Linked DNA regions of Ovis aries. The protein of the gene in region 1 purifies or fractionates together with the protein of each later gene. This does not show direct contact. Links are inferred from orthologs where the notes say so. Each region holds a gene or a part of one and is shown on either strand. Other genes may lie near its edges.

The links. Proteins that work in one complex are often made in the same cells at the same time.
Region 2: the proteins of EP300 (region 1) and MTA2 purify together in Homo sapiens (affinity purification with mass spectrometry, with the first as the bait; 3 studies listed by BioGRID). This does not show direct contact. The link is inferred for Ovis aries from reciprocal best matches to the Homo sapiens genes EP300 and MTA2.
Region 3: the proteins of EP300 (region 1) and HDAC2 purify together in Homo sapiens (affinity purification with mass spectrometry; 4 studies listed by BioGRID, with this or other methods). This does not show direct contact. The link is inferred for Ovis aries from reciprocal best matches to the Homo sapiens genes EP300 and HDAC2.

Annotation. Positions count from the first base shown.
Region 1 is NC_056056.1:218,157,893-218,163,324, reverse strand, and holds part of EP300 (histone acetyltransferase p300), read right to left. Parts: intron 4,070-5,432; coding exon 4,013-4,069; intron 3,420-4,012; coding exon 3,342-3,419; intron 1,477-3,341; coding exon 1,409-1,476; intron 785-1,408; coding exon 634-784; intron 514-633; coding exon 367-513; intron 1-366. UniProt on the Homo sapiens protein: Functions as a histone acetyltransferase and regulates transcription via chromatin remodeling. Acetylates all four core histones in nucleosomes. Histone acetylation gives an epigenetic tag for transcriptional activation.
Region 2 is NC_056074.1:37,480,782-37,484,849, forward strand, and holds the start of MTA2 (metastasis-associated protein MTA2), read right to left. Parts: upstream 2,801-4,068; 5' UTR 2,420-2,800; coding exon 2,392-2,419; intron 2,288-2,391; exon of another isoform or gene 2,013-2,287; intron 1,660-2,012; coding exon 1,592-1,659; intron 1,216-1,591; coding exon 1,122-1,215; intron 1-1,121. Other genes in the region: EML3 (echinoderm microtubule-associated protein-like 3), read right to left, coding at 3,436-3,639, 3,722-3,852. UniProt on the Homo sapiens protein: May function as a transcriptional coregulator. Acts as a component of the histone deacetylase NuRD complex which participates in the remodeling of chromatin.
Region 3 is NC_056061.1:23,732,514-23,736,704, reverse strand, and holds the start of HDAC2 (histone deacetylase 2), read right to left. Parts: upstream 2,801-4,191; 5' UTR 2,567-2,800; coding exon 2,515-2,566; intron 1-2,514. UniProt on the Homo sapiens protein: Histone deacetylase that catalyzes the deacetylation of lysine residues on the N-terminal part of the core histones (H2A, H2B, H3 and H4).

The sequences.
Region 1 (5,432 bases):
GCGATCCAAATACATTCTGACAGACTCTTATTCTGGCCTTTATACTACGTGGAAAATTCTACACCATACTCTACTTCATTTGTGTGACATTCTTTTACATCTCAAGAAGGTACTCAGCCTAGATTTAAGTACATTTTCTGAAAAGTCATATTTTAGGCTGCCATTCATATCTCTTTCCCTGTTATTATGAACATGAAAGAGCAGTATTTTCTTTTTTTTTTTTGGTTTCACTTCTATACTACACACTTGAGAACTTACATTTCCAAAAAAAGCACATCAAACATTTTCTTATCCATTACGCTTGTTCACCTGACTGTAATTTCAAACTTCCACACAAATTAGAAAGTAGCCACAGTAAAGTCCTACCTCTGGTTGGGTGGAGGGCAGTCAGAGCCATACTCCTGAACGTGCATACCAAAGAAGCACAAGTCAACACCATCGATTTCTTCGAAGGCAAAGAGGGCTTTGGTTCGATATGGAAAGGATTCTGCCATCTCTCCACTATCTACAAATCTATACAATTCATAGTGGAGGGAAGAAGTACAACATTTCATTCAGATTAGAATCATCAACAGTAACTATGTGTGAGCAACTGTGGATCCACAGATAAGAAAGGGGGAAATTACTACATACCTTGCTTTCATGCCTGGTTTGACTTCCACAGTTTTGTCAGAAGCATGAACTACTCGAACAGTGACCTCTCCTGACTCAGGGTGATTCTGTCGCCTCAGAAACTCATTCACACGATTCTCCAGAAATGTCCCAAGCCTGGTAGATGGCAGTCCTAGGATTTACAAGTGACAAGTTCAGGAGTAGCCAAGGTGCACATTTATTACTACCAGTCAAATTTCAATACCGTATCTCACTTCTGCTTTTTCAACACTAGCAAGATTATCACTGACTCAATGGCCATCAATGTGAGCAGACTCTGGAGATAGTGGAGTACAGGGGAGCCTGGCATGCTGCAGCCCAAGGGGTCGCAAAGAGATGGACTCAACTTAGCGACTAAACAACAACACAGAACAGCAAAAAACTGCACAGGCATCTATCTCCAGAACTAAAACTACTGCCACCCACCAAGTGAAAAGATCACATAGGGCTAAATGCAGCCCCTCCACAAAACTGAGGGAATCACTCACGGGATGGCAATGCTGGCCTCTGTCAGGAAATGTGTTGGAATAAGAAAAATACATCTGCGCTTTTTTACACATTATTAGGTATAAGTAACTTCACACCAAAAAGGATACTACAGTAGAACTTCAAGTACATCATGGAAAAATTATTTGTTGTTTAGTTTGGTTAAATATTTTAAATAATGTTGAAACAAAATAATTCTTTCTGGATGTTAATTTTTAATGATGTTTCAAGCAAAGTTTTCCCATAATTTACCTGTAAGAAAGGAACTTACTTTTAGCAGAAAATTTATTTTCTTTTCTAGTTCGTGCAGTCTTCTTTAAACAACCATCACAGACAAATCTAAAATGTAAACCGAGACTTTGTTTAACAACTTAAAGGAGCATTTCAAATAACGCACTCTACAGAATCTATCTTATGTATGCGTAAGGTTGAAAATAAACAAAAAAACAACCTGGGAGAAATACAACCAATATACAAAGAGCTTTCAGAAAACATTAAGAGAAAAAAGATAAATAGGTAAAAGATACAAAGAGAATATAAACTAGTTTACATGTGCAAAGATGAAGAATCACAGATTAAAGCAGAGATTTTATTTTTTAGTCAATCACATTAGCAGAAGTGTATATGTTACCAGTGGGACTATAAAAAGGGACATTTTGAAAGCAGCATGAATAGATTTTATATGTACATTCTCTTTGTTCCTGAAATTACATAAGGATGTGTGCATAAGTAGAATTTTGAGAAAAACTGGACAACACATAAGTACTCATCAACCAGCTGGCTGACCTTCAGTTGCAAGGATCACTGCAAGTCTCATGATCCTTGCCTACTCTGTAATTAAGAAGAGAAACCTATGCTTGGGGCTGGTGCATGGGGATGACCCACAGAGATGTTATGGGAGGGAGGTGGGAGGGGGGGTTCATGTTTGGGAACACATGTAAGAATTAAAGGTTTGAAAATTAAAAAAATAAAAAAGCAAAAAAAAAAAAAAAAAGAGAGAGAGAAACCTATCAAAAGACAAGCTTACCTACTACAATTTTCCTTAGTGTTTTTTTTTTTCTGGAAATTTTGTTATTTAGCCTCCTTTTCCCCCACGAACTCTAAACTAGCATCAAGTTAGTCCAGGAAAAAAGCAGAGGAGAGAGTAGAGCTCCCATCTTGATGAGAGTCACTTAATGCACAGACATCCCCTCCCCAACCTTTCCCTTGAACAGAGCTGGGAGCAGCCTCATTCCTGGAGAGAGGTAGCCATGGCAGTAAACACTTGGCAGTGTCACAATGGACAAAAATCCACTTATTTCCGTGAAAGGCACTGATGATATGCAGCCTGGGTAGATATGTGGAGAATACTCAAGAAACAAAACATGAGGCCCAAGCGTATCTAGTTCACTGAAGTCTGTATCTCATCATTTTCACGTATCTCTGCCTTTCAGTGGGGAACACCCATGTTACCTGTTATCCAACTGCCCAAAAGACTTTAAATAATTCAAGTCTAACCAGGGCCACTATTCAGTATACAATCTCACTGTAATGTTCTCTCAGAGGCAGAAACAAAGTCGTCGTTTTGGTGCTCTCCATTACTGGTATCATCTAGTCTGTCCTCTGGGATATTAGCAACACTCAACATCTGTCAAGTTTAGTTGACACAACTAACACTTTCAGGGCTTTCCTGTGGCTCGGTCAGTAGAGTCTGCCTGCAATGTGGGAGAGCCGTGTGCTATCCCTGGGTTGGGAAGATATTCTGGAGAAGGAAATGGCAACCCACTCCAGTATCCTTGCCTGGAAAACCCCATGGACACGGGAGCCTAGTGGGCTACAGTCCGTGGGGTCACAGAGAGTTGGACATGACCGAGTGATTAACACTTAGTTGTGTCTAACATTTCCTTTCTAGTTTCTAGGTGCTACAGATTTCCTGTTACCTCTATTGATAAATCCTCTATATTTACTTTTGATGCACAATAACCACCAAAGAATTTAGAAATAGTGAACCAGCAGAGAGAAGTGTCTCTACATGGACTAACACATTGTAGTAAGAGAAGGCCTGTTCTGGATTCCAGGTTGATTACTGTTCCAAAACTGAATTTTAATGACCTTTTCCCAATCCAGAGAATAATTCTAAGAGGCAGTAATTTTGACAATAAAATACAGTCATTGCAAAGATGACAAAAACTTGCTAAAGTCTGGGGAAAATACTGATGCCTCACCCCGATGGCCAGATGATCTCATGATGAAGGACACAGATCTGATGCATCTTTCTCCCACACTCTGTACACTCAACAAACCTGCAAAGGCAAAACGTCGAGTTAAATCCAAAACTTGAACCAAATCAAAAGTGCCGGTATTTCTCGTTTTCTGACAATTCAAAAGATGGCCAAGATCATGTCCAAAGAACTGAAGTAACAGTGTTTAAAAGCTCTTTAGTGTAACAGGTAGAGTGAATCTCAAACGCAGTTAAATTCAGTCATTTTATGGAGTAAAAAGTGATAGAAAAGACGACTGCTGTTTAAACCTCCAAGTCTGACACGATCCTGTCCATTCCAGGAATGTCTAGTACCAGTACACTTCTGTACCTCTGAAAGGTGTCACAATAAAGGAGGCGATTATTAAACGGTTGGAAAACACACAGGACAAGGCTGGAATAACGGCACTGAGCAGAGGCAGCCTGGCACCTCACAAGAGCACCAAAACACTAGGGAGGGTTAGTGAAATGCAAATGTAAACCATAGCCTCGATTTTTAACATTTCTACCTTGTCTCCTAGATGTAGGCTACAGACTTAGCCCAAGAATAATAGCATCACCACACTGGCTGCACAAACCAAAAGAATGAAAGCAAGACGGAAAATGAAAGTGTACTACTCAAGGGGAACTACTTACAGTTCAGGATCCAGAGTATCATTTTTTCTCTTTGAAAATTGTTCTTTATTTATTGTACTAAGGAAAGAAGAGGATACAATAAGAAAAAGCAACACAGGAAGATTAGCAAGTTGACTATTGTTCTAATAACCAAATGATAAAAACCCCCACCCTGTTAAGATTATTTAAATCTAAGACTCTATCAAGGATACAGCTGGTACATTCTTAGCTCCCGCAAAACGCACGTTTACATGCCTATGTTTTGGGAAATGACTTTATAGTACCTCTGTTCCCACTGACAGGAGAACCCAGTAAGATCTAAAAGCATGAATTTGTACTTTTTTCTTTTCCTTTTAAAATCTTGCCTACTACTCTTAGTGTTAGGTATTTAAGCCTTTGACTAGTTTACTGTTTCTAGACAGCTCAGTCTAGCAGTATGAAAGACAGTGTGTACAGAGGGAGCTAAACCACTATTTAAAAAAAAAAAAAGGCATTTTTTAGGACAGTCCAGTCAAGCAACTTTTTATATTAATAAAAAATTTTAGCATTAAGAATACATAGTTCAGGTTACTGACAGGATTAGTAAAAAAAAAAAAAGGGGGGGGGTTTCATTAAAAAATTTTCACATGGCCTCCTATCCTGAAATCTAGCCTCCTACTCTGTTCATAGTCTCACAAACACAGGAGGCCACCTACAACAAACTTTTGACTACTGTGATTCTTCCTCATAAAAATGAAGCGATTTCCCCATTGAAACTGTTTTCTCCTAGTTACAGGCTCCAGATTCATTGCTACGTGCCCTAAGGTATTGCTATCCGAAAGTGTGTTTGGAAGACTATCAGCCTGGATGGACCTGGGAACTTGTCAGTAACGCACTCTCTCAGGCTCACTGCCAACTGCAGAACTGCAAGAGGGGTTCCTACACACTTCAAAGTCAGAGACCTGCTGTCCTATGGCACAGAACTTGTGGTAAGGGTGCCTCCCTTTTTTGCATCAGGGAAACCGACCTAGACCTGACTTCCCTGGTTAGCCAAGGGTTAGAAAATCTCAAGGCTCAAGGGGACCCGAACCAGTACCAGAGCCCACCATTTTATATGTCAGTGGTGACTGAAGGAAAAGGACAACTTCAGAATCCAATTTGAAGACACCAAGTTTTTCTCAGAAGCCCTGTTTTTACTAGTAACATAACAATTCTGAATTGCTATGGGAAATGTTCTGAACTGTTTGTTTATTGTAGGTTAAATCGGAAGAGAAGCTGAAGAATATTTAAAGGATACCAAATAGTTCTTTCTTCCTAAAAGCATGAAAAATTGACAGCTTGAATCTTATAGAGATTAGAGGCAGTCTAGGCAATGTTTAAAAAATTTTCTTGGCATTTACCGAACCATAAGAGCTTGTGGATTGCAGAAGTCCAACCAAGTCTCTTTATAATAATTCATTCT
Region 2 (4,068 bases), on another chromosome or scaffold:
AGTTTGTTTTGGGGGCTCTCAAGGACAGTACCTCTCAAGCCAGTGCCAACACCTTATTCCCCAAGGAGCTGCAACTTGCCCTGAAACCTTAGTGGAAAGGGTTAACTTGGTTGGGTGCCAACCAAACAGGGAGGGGGCAGAAGAGCCACAGGCCCAGGCTCATTGGTGCATTGTTCCCAACCTCAAGGAGAAGGGGGGGGCAGGGGTGTGCAGTAGGCTCCACCCCTTGCCTGTGTGCTCCGGAAACCCTGTGCTAAGGCAAGGGGGACCACACCCCCCACAGCCTTTCCGATTGGACAAGACCAAGGTCAGCCCCTGCCAGACAGGGTTGGAAACCCCAGAGAGCCAGAGAACTTGGTCGGCCCAGGTCCTCCTTAACCCCTTCACGCCCAATGCTCAAAGAAGCCCAAAATAAGGAAAATAATTTAGAAAGGAAGAACAAGAGAAAGGGGAAAGAAAGCCAAAGCAGGAAAGGAAAAAGAAACTATAAGAAAACAGAAAGCTGTGTATCTAAAAAGATGAAAGCATCAAGAGAAGCAGGATAGGCTGAAAAGAAAAGGGAAAGATGTAAAATGGAGTCCAGGGCTAGGTGAGTCCTAGGCTATGTGAGAATAGAGAAAAAGCGCAAGAAAATGTTCCTGGCTTCCTATTTTCTCCCATCAGTGTAGTCTTACCACCTCATGATCACACCAAAAACCTGCCTTCCTATTATGCAGGCTTCTCAGTCCAGTCTCTTCTCTTCACCTGACCTTCGCAGTCACCACCTATCATCCCAACACAACCGAAACTGTCCCCCTAGAGATCTGCTTCTCTAAAGTGCTTCCTCATCCCCGATTTACATACTATCATCTCTTTAACATACACCATTCACAAAGGCAGATTCAAAAATACACACTCACACACAAGCCAAATTCTGGCTTTCCTTATCATGGCCTCTCCACCTTGCTTCTAACCCAACATGTAAAAACAGGCCTCCCTCTGCAGACCAGGCACTTCCCACCCCCAAACTCACACCCCTGCCTTGGGCATGCTACAAGAGAACACCTGCAGGGACATGCCCAGGCTTCAGATCATGGGCAGGGGGAGACAGGGAAACCGGGGGTGGGGACAAAGACACTCACTGGCATTACTATCAGCCAGGCTGTTGAGGCTACTCGAAATGTCCCTTCGCCGGAAAAGGCACACAACCTTTGCCTCCACGTTTCCATTTGCAGTCTAAGGAGAGAAAAAACGGTGGTGAAAACTAATCATTTGAAAGTGGAAATGCATAAAGAAGAGACTAACATCAGTGAACAAGTTTCTAAAGGATGTAAGAAAAACTCAAATTATGAATCAAGAGATTCACATTTAAGGACAGACTTCCAAATCCCTTTCCTCAGCCCCCCAAAAAACAGAACAGTAAAGTTCCCACTAAACTCTTAATAGCCTTTCCTGAAAGCGTGGAAGAAATGAATGAATGAATATGCATGGGTACTTAGGACAGGGTTTCTGTTATCGCTTGTCTCTCATTCACCTGAAGTTACAGATCTCTGAAAAAAGAAGACGGAGGTTGCTGGGTAGGGGGGGAGTGGCGGGCCTCTGCTCTACTCACCTTGTTGAGCTCTTCAATCCTTCTAACCAGGTAAGGATTGCTGGAGGAGTTCTCAAAATAGACGTAATCTGTAGGAGGGGGTGGGGGAAGAACCGGGAAGATCAGAGGAGTAGATGGGAGAGTCCAGCACCAGAGTGGGAGGAGCGAAAGGAGGCCTGAGTAGACCAAAAGGAGATAAGGGTCTAGGTAGAGAGGACGCAGAAATGTGGAAGTGTACAGACTAGCAGAAAATAATGGACGGACGTTCCACCCCCTAATCACCCAGTTATTAAATCAGATCCTCCGCTCAAAAGTGAGCCTTAAGGAGGAGACAAGAGAAGCAGGGGGTTCCCCTGCTCAGCAGTCCCCACAACTCAGCGATGGAGTTGCATCCCGGTCTCGTTCAGGAGAGCAATTGCTCATCCCTGTACAGGGCCCCCACCTTTGTGAACCGAGGCGCACAATAACGCCTGGGAAAAGGAAACCTCCCGGCCGCTCCCCCGTTGGTGGCCAAGCAGTTGCGCCGGCCCTTCGCGCCCCCTGCCTGCCCTGTCAGCCCCTTTGGAACCACTTTCGCAAGCCCACTCCACGACCCCGGCGGCCCAGACGCTGCCCTGAGAGTGCCGTCGGGCCGCCCGCAGCCTCCCCGGGAGTCTCGGAGCCCGGGCGCGTCGCGATCCCCGCGCCCTCGCTCCCCATGCTCCCGGTTCCGGTTCCGGTCCGCGCTCTGGACCACGCCGCCCCAGACGCGGGTCCCCGCGCCGCTGGGAGCCGAGCCTCTCCCGCCCCGAGTCCCGAAGCCCCTAACACCCGGTACTCACCCCCCACTCGGTACATGTTGGCCGCCATGGCCGTTCCCGCCGCCGCCGCCGCCGCCTCCGGCCGCACAAAGGGGTCCGGAAGGCTCCCGAGGGCAGGACTCGAAGCGAAGCCCTGAGCGCGGGGCCGGCGCTTCGCAGAAGTCTCAGTCGGGCCCGCGCAGCCGGCGCCTCCGCAGCCTCAGCCGTCGCGGCTCATCCCGGCCCGCGCTGTCGCCGCCGCCTCTATAGCCTCACGCCCGGGACGCCGAGACCGGCGCCGGTCCGCTCGGCTTCTTCCGGAACGAGCTCGGATCCCGCCGGACCGGAGGCAGGCTGCAACTACCTCCGCCCTCGCCGAGTCCCACCAGACGTTGGACTCTGAGGGCCGCCGCGAAGACTTGCCGGCCCGCCTCGGGGTTCGCCTCCTTCCGGAACACCTTCGGCGGATCCGGAGAACAAGGCCCAGCACTCGGCTCCGGTCGGAGAGCAAGCCCGCAAAGCTCGGCTACTTCCGGAAGAAGTTCGGCTCCCTCCGGCCAACCGCGGCCCGGCACTCGGCTATTTCCGTTGCGGCTCGGCCCCGCCTCCGAGGGCGGGGAGAGGAGTTGGGCTTAACTCTCTGCTAGCCGGAGTCTTGCAGCTCCACCAGCGGCCGCGAAAAACTCGAAGGGCCTTTGAGCCTCGCAGTTATTTGCAAGAGGCTTCGCCTGTTATTTGCATAAAAAGTCCACCCTCCCTCACCTTTTCCGCATTCCCCTTTGCCTTCCTCCCCGCCCCCATAAAGCCCCGAGGCGCCCAGCCGCGCCCCACAAAAGGACCGGGAGGCGACTTTGCTTTTGGTTTATTGCCCCTCAGCAGGCAGCGGGAGTCAGGGCCCAGGCTGGGGCTGCCCGGCTCAGCCAGCGGGTCTATACAGTGTGTGCAGGGGTGCCGTTCGCCCCCTCCAAGGAAATGCACTTTTGGGAATGTCTCGAAGTCGAGGACAGGGTCACCTCGGTCCTGGGGAATTTGGGTGGGTGGGGGCAGGGCCACACTGCAGGGCCGGTGGGTCCAGTCCGGCAGGGGTCAGACGTCAAGAGAGGAGGCAGGGGACAGGGAGGGGGTTCGAGAGGGCGTGGTGGGCACCGGCCCCGTGCCCCCAGCGCCCAACACTCGCCACTGGAAGATGCTGGCGTCCTTGCCGCCCAGCGAGATGAGGTGCGAGTCGTCGTGCGTGAACCGGACGCTGGTCACGTGGCTGCCGTGACCACCGTACACGAGGCTCGGCGCCTGGGCAGGAGAGAAGATGGAGCTGCAGCGGCCGAGGAGCTCCGGCCGCCCGCCCCACCCCGGAGGCCCCGGGAGGCCTCACCTTGGCGTGCGCGCACGGGTACTGGAAGAGGTGCACTTTGCAGAAGTCGTCGGCAACGGCCACGACGCGCTCGTTGTGGGAGCGGCACAGGGAGTTGATGTCAGTTCCATCCGAGCCATCTGGCCACACGCCTGTCACAGCAGCCGGCCTCAGCCCGACCTCCCCGCCCCCACCCGCGGTCCAGAGCTGCACCATTTCCCCCCTAGCTCAGGCAGCCCGGCCACCCACCCACCACGTTCCTGGCAATCCTTCCCAGTCCCGAGGGCCAGTGGCGGAGGTGGGGGAGGGGGGCGGCTCTTGGGCTGGATCTGCCAGTTTCTTGACGTCCACCCCCTACACATGTCCAG
Region 3 (4,191 bases), on another chromosome or scaffold:
AGAGTCAGTTCTCTGATGCACAAGCTCTTTCCTCACAATTGAAAAAAAAAAAACTACTATCACTATCCTTATAAGCTGACAAAATAGGGTTTTCCTGGTGATGAAAATCTAAGCTTTTGGAATTAACTATCCACAGCTTAACATACTATCACCTACAAAGAATTAGCATAATGATACCTATTCATTTTAATAACCTGTGCAAAATATTTTATTAGCCCACCCCCACAAAAAGAACCCAGAGCATATTCCCAATGTAAGCAATTACATATTCCATTCTAAAAATTAGTCAAGGAAGAGCCATAGACAAAAGACAGATAACCTAACCAGAGACATCTAAACATTCAATTATACACCTGCTGTTGGCCATCAGATGAAGCAGCTGAATGGTCCACTATAAACTATTGACTAAATCACAAAGATTACTCTTCCTATCAAGTCTGCATCCTGCTCTTGGGATCAATACTTGCTCCCATCCCCTCAATGAAGGCTCATTGTAAATGGGCCCAGGAAAAGAATAGCTGTTGATAAAACTGCTACTTAAGTGTACCTTCTGGTTCTGCAGTTCAAGCCTGGTGACAAGAAGTTTCAAGCAGCTCATTTCATCAGAGTCTATCACTGTCAACAGCAACTAACAGCTGCAGGCAGAGCCTTAGTACCAGTTACCCTAACCTTTTAAAACCCTTCTTCTCTACCCCAAGCCCTGCTAACACATCTCTAAACCTTAGAAACAATATAATTTTAAAAATTAAGTTACACACATGGTTATTTACTTTTCAATTTGGTCATGGAACCCAAGTCAAGGCCAGTGACCCAAAATATGCATGAACTCTTAAAAAATTAACTCGAAGGAACTTCAGCAATTTACATTAAAATTAAAATCTCCTCCCATCTCCACCCCTTCATGATGGCATAATTTCAAATCAATTTGTATCACATATACATGCAGTCTTCTCAAAAAATATTTTAAAAACATGGCTGTTAATATTTAACACTTAGATTTCTTCTGTAAGATTTTAGATTGTTCCACAAATTACACAGGTGGTTATTTTATATAAACAGGCATGAAAATGATTCATGCTTGCTAACTGAAGAGATATGATATGGCCATTTTAAAATTAAAGTCTAGATTTATTCTGACCTAGTCCTCTAAGATCTTTCCATCAGTCTATGATTTTACGATTTATGATACATTGAATGTAGGAAACAGCTTCCAAAATTTTTATTGCTTCACACAAATCAGATGGACTTTCAGGTCCCTGAACCTAGCTTCTTTGTTAAATTTTAGAATTTCTTCTCTGGAGAGTAACCTAACTAGGAACCATTTACCAAGTTAATATCTTCGTGCAAACTATAAAAAAGGTAACAACTTCTTTTAGTTTAATTTAGACTAGCACAGGAAACGGGATTCAAAAAGACTTACTGCTCAAATTGCAAATGAAGTCAGGACCTCTAAAACGAAATAATTAGATTTTTATAATTTACTGTTCCATGAGCTCAAGCTTATCTGATTATTTAGTACTTTCTGCCGTACTCCTCAAAGTTTTCCAACACCAGGACTCCCACCACCTAGAAACAGCTTTCGCAAGCCAGATGCCAAACCTATCGGTCCTACACCTCCAAAGCAGGGTGTATTTCCTGATCGAACAAAGAGCAACAAAGAAGTGGGTGGTAACCGCCTCTCAGAGAGGCAAGCCAGGACCCATTGAGGCTGATCTACAACACGAGCGACAACACGCTGCCCCACCACCGTCGCATTTCCCGTGAAGACTGACTACCTCAAACTCGAAAACCCTCATTATTTATTGAGGAAGTGAAGCCCTTTCATTTAAGTGCTGAGAAAGTGGCGCTCAGAGAACCCGGCAAACAAAGGAAAGGGATGGAGCCCACGCAAAACAAGGGTGCGAACGAGCCTCCAGGTGGACGTGGGCCCCCACCCTCAGGGGCTACTCTCCAGCACCCAACCCGGTCGAGGGGTCCAGGGTGAGGCCGGCGGCAGAGAAAAGGAGGAGACGCTCGAGCCAGCCGGGGACACAGAGGAGGGAAGAGGCGGGGAGGGGAGGGTTGGGGGCTGGAGGGGCGGAGCTCTCGGGGCCGTGGGGCTTTGTGTGCAGTCTGGGCCGGGGTAGCTGTTTCGGCCCGCGAGAAGAAATAGGGTGCAGGCGGCCGGAGCAGGGGACCCCCAAAACCTCCCTCCCACGAGCGGCGGGCGGGACAGGCGCGAGGAAGGGCCGTCCCCTTCGCACCAGCACCAAGCCAAGGCAGGCCGGCGGCGGACCGCACTGCCGGAGCGAGAGGGGCCGGAGGGAAAGTGGGGCGTCCGTTTAGCCCCCCGAGGAGGCTGCCGGACGGCGTCGGGTCGGGAATGGGTTAAGATGCTGCCAAAAGTCGGTCCCTCCTCCTGACCCCTCAGCACCCGGCGCGACAACTCGCGACGGCGGCCGCAGAGCCGATGCGGCTCCGGGCCCGGCGCCACAGCCCTGGGCCGCCCACCCTCCCGCCTGCCCGGCGTCTCACCATCATAGTAGTAGCAGACTTTCTTCTTGCCGCCTCCTTGACTGTACGCCATGGGCTCCCCGGCCACCGCCGCCTCCGGCTCCTCCTCTTGCTGCTGCTGCTACTGCTGCCTCCGCGGCTCCGGCGGGGAGAGAAGGCTGGGGCGAAGGTGGAGGGTGGCAGTCCCGCGGGGAAGGGCAGGCCGGAGGGAGGAGAGGAGGGGGGGAGCCGGGAGGGCTGGGTACCGCCCGGCCGAAGGGCCGAGAGCGCGGACCAGGGGGTGGCAGCGGCGCCAACTCGCGACACTGGGGAGGGGGAGGGGGGCGCCAAACTACCTCCGGAGGCCGAGGGGAGGTGGGGCGGGTCCACTGCGACTCCACGGGGGAGGAGGGGGCAAGAGGCTTCTTCAATTTGGGAAAAGAGGCTTTCTTATGATGAGCGACTTGCACAGGACGGCTACCCTATACAGTCGTAAAAGGATTTCTTTTTTAAAGAGCAGGCTTTCGCTTTTAGATTAGGTAGGTAAAGGGAGCATGGAGCCGGGTGCAAGCTTCCCCCCTTCGGATCTTTGCGCAGTGGTTGTGCCTATCCTGAGCCTGCGCAGTCGGCGCCTCCCCAACCGTAGCCCGGGCCGCCTGGACCCCCTCCGCGAAGTCCCACGCTGCTCCCCTCCCCCTCTGTCGCGAAGCTCCCGCCGGGGCGGACCACGTGCTCTGAGCCGGGCGCAGAGAGACCACTATCCCACCGCTTCGACCTTCTTGAACCCGCCGAGCTGCAACCCACGCCCCCTGTACTGGGTCGTCGTGCATTTCATTTATTTTTTTCATTTTCTACTGATAATCGCTGAGAGGAGGTTTTGACCTCGGAAGAGGTCCCCCCTATTAAGGGGACCTATTGCAGACATTAAAGAGCAGAGAGTACTGCCTGACTTTAAATAGGCAGTTATGGCATGCATGTATGTGTTAGGGTTCTAAGTAATTTATTATGTATTTCATTTATATGTGTTAACTCGATTGAGACTCCCAACAACTGGGAGTAAGCTGGGACGTTAAGTATTGTTTCTAGTTCTTCTTTATAAATGGACTTTATAACGCACTTGGTCCTCTCCAAGGTTGATGGTCTGGGGTTTGATTTCAGCCTTTCTCTAAAGTCCACACATCCTAGCTACTCCATTATGACTGCTTCTGCTGGCTGGGCACTGGAAGATGGCAGCATAAAGTTCAGAGAAAGGACTTTCAGAACTTTTGGACGTTATAAATACCTTTGCCCCTGTGTTCAATAAGTCATCAAACATGGAGCCTTTTCAGCCACCCACCTTGTAGGTGATTGGGGTGGGGGTGGGGGATGCTCTTATTCCCATATACCATTTATTGTTTATAAGTGCAGACTCAGTCACTCAGCCCTGTCTGACTCTGCGATCCCGTGGACTGTGCCCCCCTCCGAGAGGAGCAGGTTGCCATTTCCTCTTCAAGGGGAATCTTCCTGATCCGGGGTTGGAACTCCGGTCTCCTACATTGGCAGGTGAATTCTTTACCATTGAGCCCTCTGGGAAGCCCATTTACCATTTATACATTTCCCCAGATACACATTCTCTCCCATCCCTATCAAAAAAACAAACAAAAAGTCCTTATTGAAGCAGGAATCTTTGGGAGCCAGTAACAAAATTATCCTTTTTATTTTGCTAGTAAATATTTGACT